2 linked regions of the Drosophila melanogaster genome follow. Changing the gene in region 2 together with the main gene of any one other region gives a genetic interaction. Each region holds a gene or a part of one and is shown on either strand. Other genes may lie near its edges.

Region 1 (8,300 bases), on a different chromosome or scaffold from region 2:
TCATTCATACCCATTCGATTGTCATTTATTAGGGGCCGATCATTACGTAGTCATTTGTGTTTGACAATTTGAATGGGTTTTCTCACGCTAAGCAGCGCAGTCGGCGGCGGCGCCGCTTTGTCTTCCAATTCACTCAGTCATTCAATTTCATGCCTCATTCTGACTTGTTTGCTTCCGTCTGCCTTCTTTTTTACTGCTCTGCTCTGCTGTACTGTCCGCTTTTTTTCATTCATATTTATTTAGCTAATAATATAAGTCAAATCGAAATTATTTATGACACCCGGCATCGAACGCGAGTGTCTATGCGATTGTGAGTGAATCCGACTTCGACCCTACCCCAATTAGCTGGTGGCCGTGCCGCGGTGCTTTTGTTTTGATCGTTATGTAAATGGGTGAGAGATGATTTTTATTGTTTTTATAGCCACTGAATAATCGGCGTGGGTTGATAGTGAATTCTCGCGTGCCGACTGGTATGTGTGAACTCGTAGTAAATATTTGGCTTTGAAAAATTGCTCAATGAATGCCACGGACAGCTGATCTAATCGTTAATGCTTTTTACTATGAAGCGTTGTCGTGTTTCCCCCGTAGTAATCACGAAAATGTTTTGCTATTCATATCTTAAGATACATATCTATAGATATAGTATCGAGGATTGTGCTAAGATAATTTCAATTCATTCTTGATTATTACGAGCATTGTTAACTTATGTCAGTACTAGCTTATGGTCTTTTAGTTGAAAGACAGTCGACTTCCCTTATAATTCCTAATTCTTATTCACTAAACCACTTATCTATTTTCTTGAGTTCCACTCACGAAATGAACACTCAATCCGTAAATATGCTCAAACCCTTAACAAGTCTGTCAATTTGTTTTCTTTTTTCCGCTTTCTGTCACTGTTTCGCACAACATAAAAAGGATTGCGGTGTTTTCACTATGCTAAATGCCAAAAAGAAATCTCACCGCCCCAAACCAAGAAAAAAGTAGCGGCATTTGGTTAGCTTTCATGTATTTCCTCTTGATTAGAAACTGCAAAGCAAAACAAAACCGGAAAAAGGGTTATTTTTTATTGCTCTCTGCCTGTGTGTCAGTGTATGTGAGTGCTTGTGTTTACTTCTTAACTTTCGGCGTTTCCCTTGGATTTTTCTTTTCCTTATTATTATTTTTATTATTGTCGCCGGCGCAGTAGGCGTCGCGAGCTTTTAGCATTTTTAAATTGACGTTTATTATGCGCGCTGCTTTCGTCGTTTTCGTTTTTTATTGTTTTCCTTTTATTTTGGTGTGTGCCTTTGTGTGTGTGGTCAACATTGTTTTTGTATCTCTCTCCTTGCGCCGCTGGCGTTGGCGTCGACGTTGACGGCGACTGCGGCTGTGCCGTTGGCAGAGCTGCGCTGCGCCGTTTCTTTAGTTTGTTTTGGTTTTTAATTTAATCGTTTTTGTGGCCGCTCTTTGTTGTTGTTGTAGTTGTCGTTAAATGTGCTTAGCACGTGCTGCCGGCCTACTACCTCCCTCTCTTTCACTCCTGCACTGGTTATTGTTGACTCTTGCTTTTGCTGTTGCTTTTGCCCTTTTGTGTCTGCTCTTGATGCTTATTAGCGAGTGGCATTCACTCACTCTTTTAGCCAGTCACTCACCCCACCATCCTCATCCTCCTCCCCCTCCTACAACTCATTCTGCGTTCATTCATGACAGCAGGTTGCTCTGCCGTCGCTTAGAAACAAGTGGCCAATAAATTATGGCCGCAAAGAGCGGGAAGAAGAAGACTAGAGGCAGCACACTGTCCATTATTATTGCCCATTGAAAGCGTAATGGTAAATACGCATAAAACCGTTATACAGTCAAACATCACTAGATTGGAATTGTCCGCATCAATTGTGCAAAAATACCACTCAACATACAGAAGTTCATTACTCCGCGTTAATAATGCGAATGTGGTTTTAAAACATCTACATATGTGCAAACGATGATGTTAACGATAATGTTGAAATTGCATTAAAACATATTAATAACAGAATTTTATGCACAGTGCATAAAAGTTTACAAGTTTTTAAGATTTTATGCCACTCATATAATCAGTTTTAAATATTTTTAATTTTGAAGTAACATATTTTTAATGAAATACGAATACAAAAACCGTTCTTTAAATGCGCAAAATAAAATGTAGAACTCGAATTCCCAATGGCGGCAATTGTTCATTCACCACATGTTTGCGGTTCGAGTTAGAGATTTTTGCCTGTATTTATAGCCCGGAAAAAAGGGTTCGTCCGCCGCCGGCTGCTGCCCCTCTCCCCGTGAATGTGTTTCGTATCCGGGCTTTTTTATGATACGGAAACTGACCTAAGGTATGCGACGGGCATTTGCATGGGACCGATAATGAAAATGAGTTGCCGGGGTGCCACGCCCACTGCCATCCCCCAGAAAGGAGCGGAACAAGCGCAAGTCATGATGCTATTATTATACAACGTTCGGACTTTGGTACGTCACTGTGTCAAGGACAAGTGGATTCCATTGCGGTGTGTATGTGTGTGTGTTTGTGCGTAAATTGGTAAGAGGGGACTGGTACGTGTATTTATTGTTGATTTTCCGTTTTACGACCTTTGCCCTTGTTAATCATTTATGTGGAGCGGTCGAATTTGTTGACTTTTTAACAACAGACTTTTCCAAGGCTTGGCTAAATATACCTCATTTACCCGTTCTTTTACCTAAACACCTCAAATAAAAAATTGACATTACACATTTGTAACATTACCAAAAACCCATTAAAGAATGTGCACGTATGTACATACATATGCAAGCTTGATCACAAGTACAAACTATTAACTAAAAAGTTTGGGAATATTATTTTGTCTTAACATTTTTAAATAAATTGCTACCTGACAAATTCCTGGTAGCAAACATTTTTCTCAAAGCCGGCATATCTACATATCTTGCATCGAACACTTTGTCCAATTGTGGGTCAAGTTTATTTCAAAAATGTATTTCCTCTTCGGTTTTTATTTGTTTGCGGAACTTGGAAGTGAAGCCTGCAAAGAATCTTAAATGCCAATGCACTTTACATGCCCCGAACCAACCGCACCGCCCCATGCGATTGCCACCCCCTCGACGTGTATGACATTTTTGCCGTTTTTGTTTTGCTCGCCGGCTTCTACGCCTCTACCACCACAATCACCATCACGTCCGCACCACCCACCGCCCCCCTTTCATCATCCATCATCACAAAAACTTTCATTTAATTGCTGCAAGCGGTAGAAATAAAGAAAGAAAACAAAGAGGGAGAAAAAACCTTGATGTTGTTGGCTTTTGTTTACTTGGCTTCGATTGCGATGGGGGCTTGTCGGGAAAGACCCCAACTTGGGAATGGAAATCGTATCTGAATCGGAATCGGGCATCGAGAATCGGGGGATTCGAGGGAATCGAGCAAATGGCTAGCTGACGACGCGTGCTGTGCGTGCCTACTACAAATGCCCCACATGGATGTGCGTGCTGCTCCGCTGGAGGCACCCATCCTTGACCCCCCGATGCTCACCCCTCGTGGCGCCCCACGCCAATCCATTGAACATTTCCCGGCCGTAGCCAAATGACTTTTCAATTGGATTCGCCGGTAAACGGCAAAGGAAACAAGCGCATAAAGCGTAAATGCCGATAGAAGAAACTCAAGAATCAAAACAAAGATAGCGAATGCACCTCACATGTGTACTCAAATGCAATCATATCATACACCGCAATGAACCATACATATGTGATAAGAATGAAGCCAATAAATGTAGGGAAACTGAATGTTAATAATAAGGTGACACCATACAACCATATGATTGATAATCAAATCTAAAAACATTGGTATATTTCTAATATTTTTAGGAAATGTATATTTTCTTATAATTAGATTGCATAGCTTTAAATTACGAACGATCACTTTACATTTTAAAAATACCATTATTAGATATTATATGTCGTAAGTTCAGCTCAGATATCACATTATATGCTGGACCAAAATTGAAATAGTATTTTCTGATCAAAATTTGATCATTTCAATTTAGATTCAAGTGTAGTCCATCTAGAGCTAGAACAAACACGATGACAATAACCAATCGATGGCCAATATCATTGGACAAGATCAAGGTCGGTACTTATAGAGTGAGCCATAGTAAGGCCTTATCACGATCTACTCACATTGGATTCCGTCCACATTTTCATGGTTTCCTGCGAAGTCTTGAGGAGGTAATCTCGGCTGGCAATAATTTAAGTTTGGCGCCTTTTTCTGAGTCGCTGGTTGTTTTGGGTTCCGTGGTGTTCCTTAGCCCCAGCTCCACATGTTTGCGGGTTTGAGGGTGATGGGGAAGTCGATCGTCGGGCCAAGAACGATTCACTATATAACACACACAAAACACACACGCTCTGGCACAAACACACATGCAGACCGCTGGTCCGATGTTTTTGTTTTTGGCGCTGTTGTTCAACTGGGAAAAATGGGGAAAATCGCTGTGGAAAATTTACGTAGTTTTTGCTCGGGCTCTGTGGCTTTGGCCGAGCGCCTTTGGCGTCGTCGTCGCTGGTCGCTTGGCGTCTTGTTGTGCGAAGTGCAGAGTTCGTACTGAATGCTTTCGGCCTGGCCAACACACTCGACAGCCGGGTGGCCAGGGTTGCCGTCGCCGCGCCTGGAAAACTCTCTGCGCTTTGGCAACTCTGCCACATGCGCGCGTTGTTGTTGCCAGCTTTTCCGCCTCGAATTTTCGTATTTTCAGTTGCTCTGTGGAAAGCCACCAGGCTGGGACACAATCGGGCGAAAGCCATGGCTCCAATCCCAATACCAAAACTCAGACCCACAATGCTTTCAATGTACCATGCCTTCCGCCCTCTCTGCTTCGCCCCAGCTCCACGTTTTCATCATTTCCTGAACTATTTTAGTGGGCCCGACCAACAAACAAAGCCAACTCGCCTTGGCTCGGTTCAATTCGGATTGCTTCAGCTCAGCTCGTATGGGTTTTGCTTTGCTTTGGCCGCTTTGCTCGTTTTCATAAAGTCGATAATTGTGATTGGCGCCTAACGGTTTCTGCACGAAGCCAAGTACACAGATGTATCGATAATATTGGATCTTTGTTCATAATGGGGGATCGATATTTTTGTGCTGGAAATCGAACTTCTGCAGCTTGTGAAGAATTTACAACCATTCCTTTAACTTATACGCAACGTAAGCGCCTAACTAAACTTCCTCTTTTTGGCTTTGTAAATAAATAAAGATCTCCAACAGATTATTGACGATTTTGTAAGATGAAAACTGAATGCTACAAATATTTCCATATTTTTGTTTCTGCAAGGGTAACAGGGCGTGTATGATTGATATAGCGAAAATCATCTTATTAATGACTTTGGTAAGAGGCGGAACAGAAATACATTTTTCGGAGGATCGGTATACGTGTGGGTTTGGTAAATAAAATTGCAAAGTTTGTACAAACGATCCTAAATTACTAAGTCCTTAAAAGAAATCATAGAATTATCTAATATCTCTTATATATGTAGTTTTAAATGATGATCAAATAAATTTATTTCGAATCAGTTCAAAGACGATCCTAAGTGCTCATATCATCTTTTCTGATTGCAAAGGCTGGTGGCATAACGTCGCACCTGATATCGGCGACTTTTATCAGTTGACAGTGAGTCAGGTGCTCTGCGGAGCGAAGCGACCACAGTGCCGAACGACCTTTTGCTGACTGATAAAAGTGGGCGATTTGGGTGGCTAGGCTCTCTTTCCCCACACACAGTCACACTTACGAGAGCAATTCCCCACCCTCCGACCCCGCTGACTGCTGATTGCTTTGCTTGCTTCGCTGCACACACACACTCGCACACCCAGTGCTTAGGAGAGAGTTGGGTGGCTCTTTGTTTGGCCCACGCTCTCCCACAGTTACCAACCGTCATCCACCTCCCTCTTTTCCTCTCTCTCTCTCTCTATGTCATTTATGAGAGCCAGGCCGAACGAAGAGCCGAAGTTTCTGCTGCCAAGGCAAAAGCTAAAGCCGCACTTAAACAAGAATGGATAATAAAATGGTTAAAAATTCTGATAAAAATTGATCAGGTAGAAATATTCTAAGTTATATGAAACTTGTTCATAAATTTAGGACATTATGCAAACGCTTTTTTTTAGTTCATGAATAATTGGTTTAGCAAAAGTTTTTGTTGAGTGTAATGCCGGATTTCTAGTTCTGTCGTGGTCGCTGCTTTTGTCGCTGCCTCTGCTTCTGTCGCTGCCTCTGCTGGCGGAAAACTCCTGGTCCAAAGGCAGCCAAAACAACCGTCGACGGATGACGACGTTTTCCGACTAACAACGGACGCGCATTTTCCACCGTTTCGAGGCAAGAGCGCATTGAAATTTGTGCGACGCAGCGCAGCCTCGAAATTGGCAAAAGGGGTTTTTTTTTGTGGGGATTTGAAAGAGGGGACAGCGCCGTGGTAATGGGAGGCTAGCAGAAAGGGGAGTCGGTTAAAGCTTTAACGATGCTGGCCACTCTGGCGGCTGTGGCATTCATTGTTCGCCTTCGAGCGCCAATCGCTGAAAATGCCATTTTCACTGAAAACAAATATAATTTCTAGAAACTTCATAAAAAACTCCATGTATATTGCTGTAAATAGTATGGAAAACAAGAGCTTAAATCCTTAGCTCTACGTTTCTCAGGAAATTCTAAAGATGAATATAATATCTGTACAAACAATCCAAAAATATATGTTTTAAACATTTTTGTTTTATTTTAGAAATATTTAAAAGGCGTATTTCTATGTAATTATTTTCTCAATCATGCTTATGTTTAATAATAATGTGTTCCATTTAAGCAAATACATTTCCGTTTGAATGTTTGATCGCTCAGTGTGGTGATGTTGTTGCCGCTGTTATTCATCCACTTTGCGTATCCTTTGGCTGTGCTGCTGATTTGTGCGCAAAACTTTTACAACATCGCAGTGGCAGTGGCAGCGGCAGAAGCAGAAGCACCAGCAGGAACAGAGGAACAGAATCCAATGCGGCAACAACAGCAACAGCAACGGCCACACCAACTCGCAACTGGCAACCTATGGCTATGGCTATGGCTATGGCCATGGTATCAGCAACATTAACGAGTCTCAGCAGCGACAGCGTCACCGTCGACGAGCGCCGTTCTTGTCGCGTGGTTATTGCCGCCAGTTGCGGCTCTGCTTTGTCTACGAAAGGTCGAAGACGGAGTCTGTGGTCTGTCTCAGTCGAAGCTTCAGTCTAAGGGGACTCAGCCTGAAGTGACAGAGGCAGGAGCAGAAACAGGGGAAGGGGCGCTTCATCAGTCGCCGATGGCTTTGTCTGCTCTATCAAAAAAAAAAAAAAGTTCAAATATGCATTGCCTTGGGTTACGGGGTTCCCCCGTAATAGGGGGCACAGGGAGAATATGGGATATGTAGAGATAGATGGGCGCATAGGCAGCAAGTCGGAATTTCCGGAAAGTTAAAACTATCTATTAAAACAAGGGGTATAATGACTTTTATCAATTGATCACAGATTGCGTAGAGAGCCAAGATAGATAGATCAAGACAGTAATTTAATGAAATATGCAGATAAATCAGCAGAGAGAGAGAGAGAGATACATAAGTAAACCTATACGGTCTAGGCAAATCGTTACGATTATAAACGTATTTTAAGAGTTTATAAAAGAAAGTAATAGGGTTCTCTTGATGATGATCAGTAGATGTACTGAATGTACCTCTTATCACCCATAAGCCTTTTCGATTGCTCAACTTCCATTATTAAAGTCTTAACCGACTTTGCCTACGGAAGGCTTTAATAATTCTGTGTTTCTAATAAAATTCTCTTGATTGCCCGAAATGTTAATCATTTATTGATATTTCATTTCTGCCACAGGCCTTTCTACGCGCTTCTCATGCCCAACTAGAGCCGTGTCCACATCTCATCCCATGCAGCCCGCTTCTTTCGTTCAGCTGGCTAGCTGGGGGTTGAGTGCTCGCTTTGATGATTTTGTTTTCGAGGCTTATCCACCCCACTCTGCCACAGTGGTCCCTGGCTTAGAGTCACCCTCATTTCTACGTTTGAATTTCCCCTCAGCGAAGTAAAAAGAAACTGCAACGTAGGAATATCAGCCAAGTGGGATGGGTTGCCATTTATTGGGGGGATCTCGGAAAAGGATTTCACCTGAGAGCCGGTGCAAGAGCATTTGTTAGAGCTTTCACTGTATGTGCCACAGCATACACATACAATTGCTGGCCTTTATGTACATGTATGATATACTCAAATACATATGCATCTATATGAACACACACAGAGAGACACA
Region 2 (8,402 bases):
TGATAGTGAGGGTGATTGTAAGGGGCTCTATGAGAGATTATTAAAACATATTATAGGGGGTAGGTATTAATTTAAACAATACGCAGCTTAATAAACAGCAGATTAAAAGTTATGAAACATTATACCGGCTCAAATGTGCACTACGCATATACATATGTTCAAACCCAAGTTGTAAGGGTGCTGGAAAATTGTAAACAATATTAAAATTGCCCCCAGATGCTTAACATCTATTTGAAAACATTTCAAAAATCTAAAAAGTTAAGTACAATCCAACATTAAATTCTGAACAGATCGCATTCAGTTTGTTTGCCAAACGGATTTGCACTCATTAAGTAATACATTTGAAATGGCAATCAGACGTCAGTTGTCCATTGCATTGATATTTAATCAAGGCAATTAATTAACATAATCACATTAATTGTCGCCAGCTCAGTGCTAAAAATGTGCCTCACTGGTGCAGGGTATATTGAGTTCTAGAGTTCATGAGGTGATTTTTAAAATGTAATACCTGGCTTAATTTATATTCCCAAGGGTGTCTTTGTTTCGCTACTTTTGTACCTTTCATGCCATCGGAAGATTGGAAGATGGCCTCTGTCTGTGGCAGTTGGAAACCCCTCGAATTGGCTGCTCCTCAACTGCTTTGTTTATGATTTTGTGCCGTCATTGGGTTTTTAATTTGCCTGCCAGCCAAGTACTGCAAACCCGCCCCGCCACGCCCCCTTCGAGCTAGAGCTACTGCCAAGTGCAGTTAATTCCGCAATTGCAGTTGTGGGTGACTTGTTGTCGTCATCGTTGTGGGCTGTTTGTCCCCAGAACTCCACCGCCCCCCCCCCTCATTTTCGTCAGCTTTATGTGTTTTCCTCGCTGGCGATTTGCATAATTTGTTCTTTAATTTATGGCATGCGAAAGCCTTTTCTCCGCATTACTATTATTGTTGTTCTTTCGCTGTCACTCGGCGAATGTCTCAGAGTCTGGATTGTGTGAGTCTCCCTGATTGAGATGGCTTAATTAACTAAACGATGTGCCTGGAATTTAATTGGCGACCGCTCAGCGAAGGCGGAAGCGTTTTTCTAAAGTTTAGTTTAGGTTTTGCCACTGGAACTTTCCACTCATGGATCACATTCCGTCGAAGAAGACGCGCCGCGCCCACCAACGATCTGCTAATGCCAGATGGCTTTAATTTATTTTGTAAATTATTTCCCATATCAAAAGCAATGAAAATACATTTTCCATCCCCGCTCGCCCAGAAAATACTTTTTGTTCATAAACAAATTGTTTTTGTGGGCCACCACGAAATGAAAATACACAACTAGTTGTATGGAGCTGGGCAGCAATTCTTAAAATTGTGATGGAAATCGAAGTGAAAATCGAGAAAGATGAGCAAAGAATTAGGAGAAGAGGCCTTAAGTGAACCGAAAACAATAAATAAAGTTTTTGCCTTGGTTTATAATTATAAGCATCTTAGGCAGGCGAAAGATCTGCAGAAAATACTTTGAAAACATGTTGCAATTGCTTATAGTTTGAAGCAAGCCGATAAAATTAAGAATATATTGTTAAAACATTGGAATGTTCACTAAGTGTTATGCATTAGTTTTAGAAAATGAAAAGTATAATTAAATTATAATTATATTATAATTAATTATTTTTTGAAAGTGAAGCATACTTTCCTCTTTAATTATTTAAAATTATTATTTTGATATACGGACTGAACTTTTTATGCAATTGTTTAGGATGGGCCAAAACTCTCAGAATTAGTTGTAATTATGGTTAATAAAATTCTCGCTTCCACAAATAAGAGACAAAAAGTTTCAAAAGTTTTCATGACCCCACTTCCTGCGATCCCTTACCATTTCCCGCTGCCACCTCATTAACTTTAACTTTGAACTTTTCCATTTCTTCCAATAAGGAAAATTTCGCTATCCTCGTACCCCAACTCTCAATTTTTCTGCGTTTTAACAGCATTGGTCGAGCTAGCGCCAAACGATTCTCGGAATAATTTTCCATTTTGCTGCTTCTTTGGTCTTTTGCTTTTTAATTGAGTACATACATACAAACGAAAGATGCAGACGAGGAAAAAAAAAAAACAACCAAAATTAAATTATGTGCAAAGAGGAACGAAATCTTTTTCGGTGACTTTTTCATTTGAATTTCGGAATGGAAGTCAGCGAAGCCATTATGAAATTATTTATTAAATGTTGTGAAATCACTCGATGCACATGGACCCATTTGGAACCTTGGAGTGTCGCTGTATCTGACTTCGTATCTGGGCTTTTTACACGCAAAAAAGTTTTTACTTGAAAATGTGATATAAAAATGTATAAAGATACAAATGTATCTTAGGCTCGTAATCACTGCTCTGGAAAGTCCTGTTCTACATTTTTGAGATTTTTGTAATTAAGAGATACATTTTTCTTTCTCTGCATTTGTATCTGTTTATGGGCAGCAGGGCAACGCTTGGATTCTAATTGTCGAAGTCGTCATTTGTCGTCGCTTTTTCATTGGCGTCATCCATTGCTGTCGTCGGGGTGTGAGATTTAAGTCGGTTTATCGACAGCATCGTCGCCGATTTTGGTTGCGTATTGTCGCCTATATGGCACCTCCCCCCCCCTATTTATGCTCCCCCCTGAAAGCCCCACCGATTGATCATCATCATCATCATTGTACGCTGCCTTTGTTTGTGCGGCTCGCGTATTTCTTCAATAAATTTTCAGTTTATTCGGTTTATTTATTTACTTATATTTGCTATTGCTCTTTAGCTCGTATCCACCGCCCCACTTCAGTTCACAATTCCCTTTCCATTTTGGCTTCTTCGCTTTTCGCTTTGTTTTCTCGCAGCCTTATGATTATTTTTCTCAGTTTCCACCTCCGAAGAGCCCCATTCCCTCCAAATCTTCGCCCTCCATCGTCTCCGTCGCTCGCGTAATTGAATTTCAACTTGTTTGCATTGTCGACGATGATGATAATTCGTCGGGGTATTTTGCGTATTGAGATCAGGGCCTCATCAATTAGTAAATTAATTTTATGCTCGCCGCTTTATGGAAATAAAGTTTTGCAGCATCCGAGCCGAGGAAAGTGGAAAATCAGAGGGATGAGCACAGGAAGCAAGCTTAAGATTGAAAATCTTGTTTGTTTACTCAGTTAGAAAATCGCCTGGAATTCTTGAGATATTCATCCCGAAGGCCGTCGTAAAAATCCTTAATCAATTTATGGCTCTTTTGTGTTCTGAACAATTTAATTAAGTTCTTTAAGGCACTGCAAACTACTTTGTTGTATACAAATGAACAAATATTAACCTTTTACTGCTAACGAAACTAAACAAATATAAAAAATGTTAGTCTTGAACTGAGCAATATTATTATAAATTTTAAATATAATTACTATGCAATACTGCAGCTCTTCAAATAACAAATGTATTTTAACTTAACTACCACTTCCCGCACATTTTTCAACTAGTTAACTTTTATTTGTCCCATTTTACAGAATGAAATGTCAGTAAATATTTTTGTAATTATTCGATTTATTTTTTGCGCCATTTGACGTACCAAAATTTCAATTATAATCAGCTTTGGCTTTATTTAAATATGGCACACATTTACCAACCAACCACCACTCCCACTTTTAGCTCATTATTTATTTTCTACTGTCCGTTTCCCACGGAAAGTTGCAATTATCATATTTGACTTTTCCGCATAAATTCTGTGAATTATCTCACCGCAACTATTTTTATTTGTTTTAATTATTATTATAGTAGTTTTAGCAAATGTATTTTGTTGCCATTTTATTTTTTGTGTTTCACAAAATATTACAGAACTCGAACGGAATGTTTGTGCCATTGATTCGTATTTGCGGTTGGCAAACCGAAACGAAATGTGCAACAAATTATTTCTGATATTATTATTTATTTATAGAAAAAGCTGAAAATAGAAAAAAAGTCATCAGCAAAATATGATATGTGACAATTCAATCACAAATCGAGATAGGAACCCTCTCTCAATTTTATATATTTTTTTGTTGTGTTGATCCCAAATGCAAAAATTGCCCGTTAAAATGCAATCTTCATTATTTAATTTATTTGAATTTTTGCTGGCAATAAATATTCATTTCTGACCGTAGTGGGTGTTGGCCTCTGTAGATATGGGAAAATTGTATGCAAATACAATTAAATGTTTTCATATGCATTTTGTGTGCTCCTCGATTTGATTGCTGCCAAGGGATATGTCTTGTTCAAACGGTTTACGTGGCGTATACTTGATATTATGTATTTTCTATGAATGTGCAATTTTTATTTATTATGCCAAGCAATTGAGAAAGAAAGAAAGATTAATCAAGAGCTTTGAAGAATATGTTATATATATATATATTGGGTTTGAATACTTTCCGCTCGAGCCCATTGAATATTTAAACATTACAATTGCTGTGGTGATTTCTGGCCATTTTAATCTGCTGCTAAGTCCCACTTTTGTCCGGTCAATGTGTAAATCAATAATGCATTAAAAACTTATTAGAACAAACAAGGATTCATTAGGCGCAATCTGTGTTCGTCCGTTTCGCAGTTGTTATTTATATCGATATAACAAGGTAATAACTGCACACTTAAGTATGCAAATAGCCTGGCCCGCACCTTCGTCCTTGTATGCCTGTGTGTGCGTGCGTCTGTGTTTGCACATGCAAATGTTATCATTTGTGATTAGTTACAGTCCTGAAATGCTAATGCCCCTTGACAAGCAACAGCAACAACCGCAAGACAACTCACTTTCGGGTTAACTGGAATGCCAGCCAGTGTATGTCTGTGTATGTCTGTACATCTGTGTGCCTTTGATCCTTATGAATAGTCAGCCAGCCGGAGGACGAGCCGAATTTGCCCCGGCTGGCATTGTGCTTCGCTCTGAATTATTTACACAAATCCAACTGCAATCGTTTGTCAATTTGCCAATTGACAGTGAACATAATTGATGGTGATTAAGGGTGAACGTAGTAGGTAAAGAAGGTGGGATTGCTTTATGAAGTCATTCGCTTGGCAAAAGATTGTTATGTTGTAGTGTGAGGCCATAGATTTGGTAAATTATTGTCGTACCGTTACTATTGTAAGTCTCAAAACTGAAAGACTTATCTTAACACTGTAATTATAAATACTAATTCGATATCTATGATATATATATAGTCTATTATATCTAAGGATAACATACTTCCCTCCGTTGAGTGCATCCTGCAACTGCTTCAAGCATCGATCGATTTTTCTTTCCCTCACTTGTGAGCCATATTTGGATGACGAATAGGGATCGAACAGGAATGGAAAATAGGGATGTGGGTCAAACGTTAAAACGGAAGTCGAATCATCTTTGGTGATTTCCTCCTTGACTTTCTCCTTTCTGGACTCCTTCACTTGTTCCACCTTTTCACTCATTTCGCCACTTGCCAATCTGCGTTACGTATACGCCACGTTGAACAAACCACGTCTAATCGAACCGAGATTTTTTTACCGCACTTCCAAACGCATCGAACTCTCTTTGGCAACTGCCGTCTAGTTCTTTGTCCAACTTCCTCTGCGATTAATTTTTATTAGTAGTGCCTCCAGTGCCTGGCAGTAGTTATTACAGTTGGCCAGCGCACATCTTAGCCATAGGTGGACTAATCACCAGCGCCATCAGCTGCAGTCTTACAGCAACGGCTGGCACTCGATTGCCTTCACCACCCATTCTGAAGGCCACGCGAAGCTTTTTGCATATTGCGTATACGTCATGTGCGTCCGGGATCGAGTTTCATTTCACGGTAATATATGAAAAATTCCTGGTAATGCAATGCGATCCCCAAACTGATTGCTTTAATGGTTTGTTGACTCAGTTAGCTGGCGAATAACAGCAGCTACTGTCAGCGTATTTCTATAAACTCTTAAAGTCGGGTTTTAAGTACATTAGACCTTGTGCTGTGATCCTCATATGAGTGGAATATTCCTACTGTGCGATTTATTGAGAGTGCTGAAAATATACTTTTCGAAAAATTTTCAATAAAAATATTGCAATCTGCTATTACTGCGAAATATCTTCTTAATTCATATCAATGAATGTATTTCATCAATGTAAATTCCCATTTGTATGGGATATACTTAGAAAATTATAGACCATCTCTATGAAAATTCTTTGCAACACAATAGTAACTCAATTCATTCAAATAATAAGGGAATTTTTAAACTCGTCGAGTTTTCTAAATGATCTAGTTTTATTAAAAGAGTAATATAAGTATATACCTTAACTTTCCGCTTTCTTCGCAATACACTTTGGGGTAATTCCTCAAATATTTTCGTCGTTCGTCGGTCTAGCTGGGAAAATTGAGAAGTGAGAGGTGGAAAAAGTGACCTCATTTGGCATAGGACCTCATTTCCTAACGCCCAACGAACCGCTATTTTTTGTTGTACGTCGCAGTTAAGTGTCCTTTCGCATTTCGTTTGCTTGGTGTTTGTCCTGTTTTGTGGGCGGTTGATTTGCTCCTTGGCTCCTCCCGCATCCTGTTCGTCCTGCCCTTGTTTTGCTTTCGGCTTGGTGCCCATGTAACTTGCTGGAAAATTAATAATAATAAAAAAACACCTACCACGGGGTGGGAGTACACGCGTGACCCTATTAAATGTGTGCTAATAAAAGCTTGGCAGCTCCGAAAAAAAATCCAAGGAAAATAAGGGAAACACGCAGGGGCAAGAGCGCAGATAGCTGACCAAGTGCGTAATGTTGGACAGAATATTTCTATGCCCAAGTGGTGAAGAAGTCTTGCTTACAAATTTCTGAAGTGTACAATGGACGATGAAATTACTTAAAAATTCACGAAGAAATGCGAAAGATGACGATGATGATGGGGTGGGGAAAACAAAATCAACGCTCACAAAAGCGGAAACATTTAACGGGGGCGGTGGTGGGTTGATGGTGTTTCTATTTACGCTAAAGGTCAACTTTTTCCATTTGCAGCTTGGTCATTTATAAAATCTTTCGGTATTATTAAGCAAAGCGAGGAAAACCAACTAAGAGGATGAAGTGGTGGAAAGGACTAAGGAAGTACATAAAGAAAACCCAAGGAGGACCAAAGCCGAGTTCTGTTGTGTCCGCGATTTATCAAATTAATGAGTATCATTTTATTTTCATTTCATTTTCTATGCGCCAGCACAAAAAGCGAAGGACGAAATCTCCGAAATTCCAGCAAGGAGTGGTCCAAAAGGAGAGCTTCGAAAATTAAGGTAACTTTTTGGCAAAGCCAAAGGAAAAATGAGTGGAAAAAATGTATAAAAAAGAAATCAAAATAAATGAGAAAGAAACGGACAAGGACAGGTCAAAGTGGAATCGAGGGAAGATTCCTTTCCATCTACGATAGCAAACATTAGAAAAAAATATTCAGAATGAGGCCGACTTGTGAAGTACCCTAAATCGGCAAAAAAGTATTACTAGCAGGATAAATATTTCAAAATAATGAAATTGTTGATTTTAGTTTAATTAAATCTCAAAGACATAGCTAAGATATTTTTCAGCCTAGAATTTGTGTTTTTAATTCCCTTTAAATCGTAATCTTAAAGGTGTAAACTCAAAATTAAATTTGAAAATGTTTTTTTCTAAATAGAAGCAAAAATTTGAAAAAAATCATATGAGCGAGTGCATAAAAAAGTGAAGCAAACACATGGCAGAGCAGTCAGAAACTAATGTCGGCGATTACATAAACAGGACACATGAAAGGACGAGCCCAGACGAGAGTGGGATGGATATACACACCCAAAGGCAAAATAGGAACACCCAGAAAACCAACATGAGCATAAATCCTCGCACCCGAATGCCAAACCCAGTAACCCTCCGCATTCCTCCCCACACAAAAAGGATACAAAACACTTTGCATTGGAAAGGTACAAACAAATAAAGTGACCAAACCCGGACCAAATAGGAAATACCCACCCACCCATCCACACACACACTCACACACACACACATATATAATAATAAATAAAATGCTTATGTGAAAAAAAAAGAAATCCAAGAAGAGACCCAAAAAAGGCCAGAAGAAACCCAAAAGGAAACGGACAGGAGCGACATGCAGAAAGGAAACGAAAGGAAAAGAAAGGAAGCCAAGGCGAATTGTTTTATATCCCTCATTTGTCCATTTAATGGCTGAAACGAGCCACATCCAAAGAGCCAAAGAACCAAAGAGCCGATGAGGACGGACGAAACCAACCCAAACAGGAATCCAGGACATGAGCAAACAAAGCTGGGATAGAACAGGAAGCGGATGGGGCAAGGATGGCTGGGAAAAACGCAACCAAGCAAAGTGAAAAAGAATATTGAAACACTAATAAAAATGAGGATAAGCGGGGAATGCATTAAGTAAAATATAGAATAAGTGCCCATACATGGGGGTGATCAGAGTGTGAGTTTTCA

Evidence for each region.
Region 1: of tna (region 2) and tara, changing one enhances a phenotype caused by changing the other (phenotypic enhancement), as found in Drosophila melanogaster (one study listed by BioGRID).

The regions. Positions count from the first base shown.
Region 1 is NT_033777.3:16,222,307-16,230,606, reverse strand, and holds the start of tara (taranis), read right to left. Parts: upstream 4,957-8,300; 5' UTR 4,192-4,956; coding exon 4,168-4,191; intron 1-4,167.
Region 2 is NT_037436.4:10,832,530-10,840,931, reverse strand, and holds the start of tna (tonalli), read right to left. Parts: upstream 5,405-8,402; coding exon 5,187-5,404; intron 1-5,186.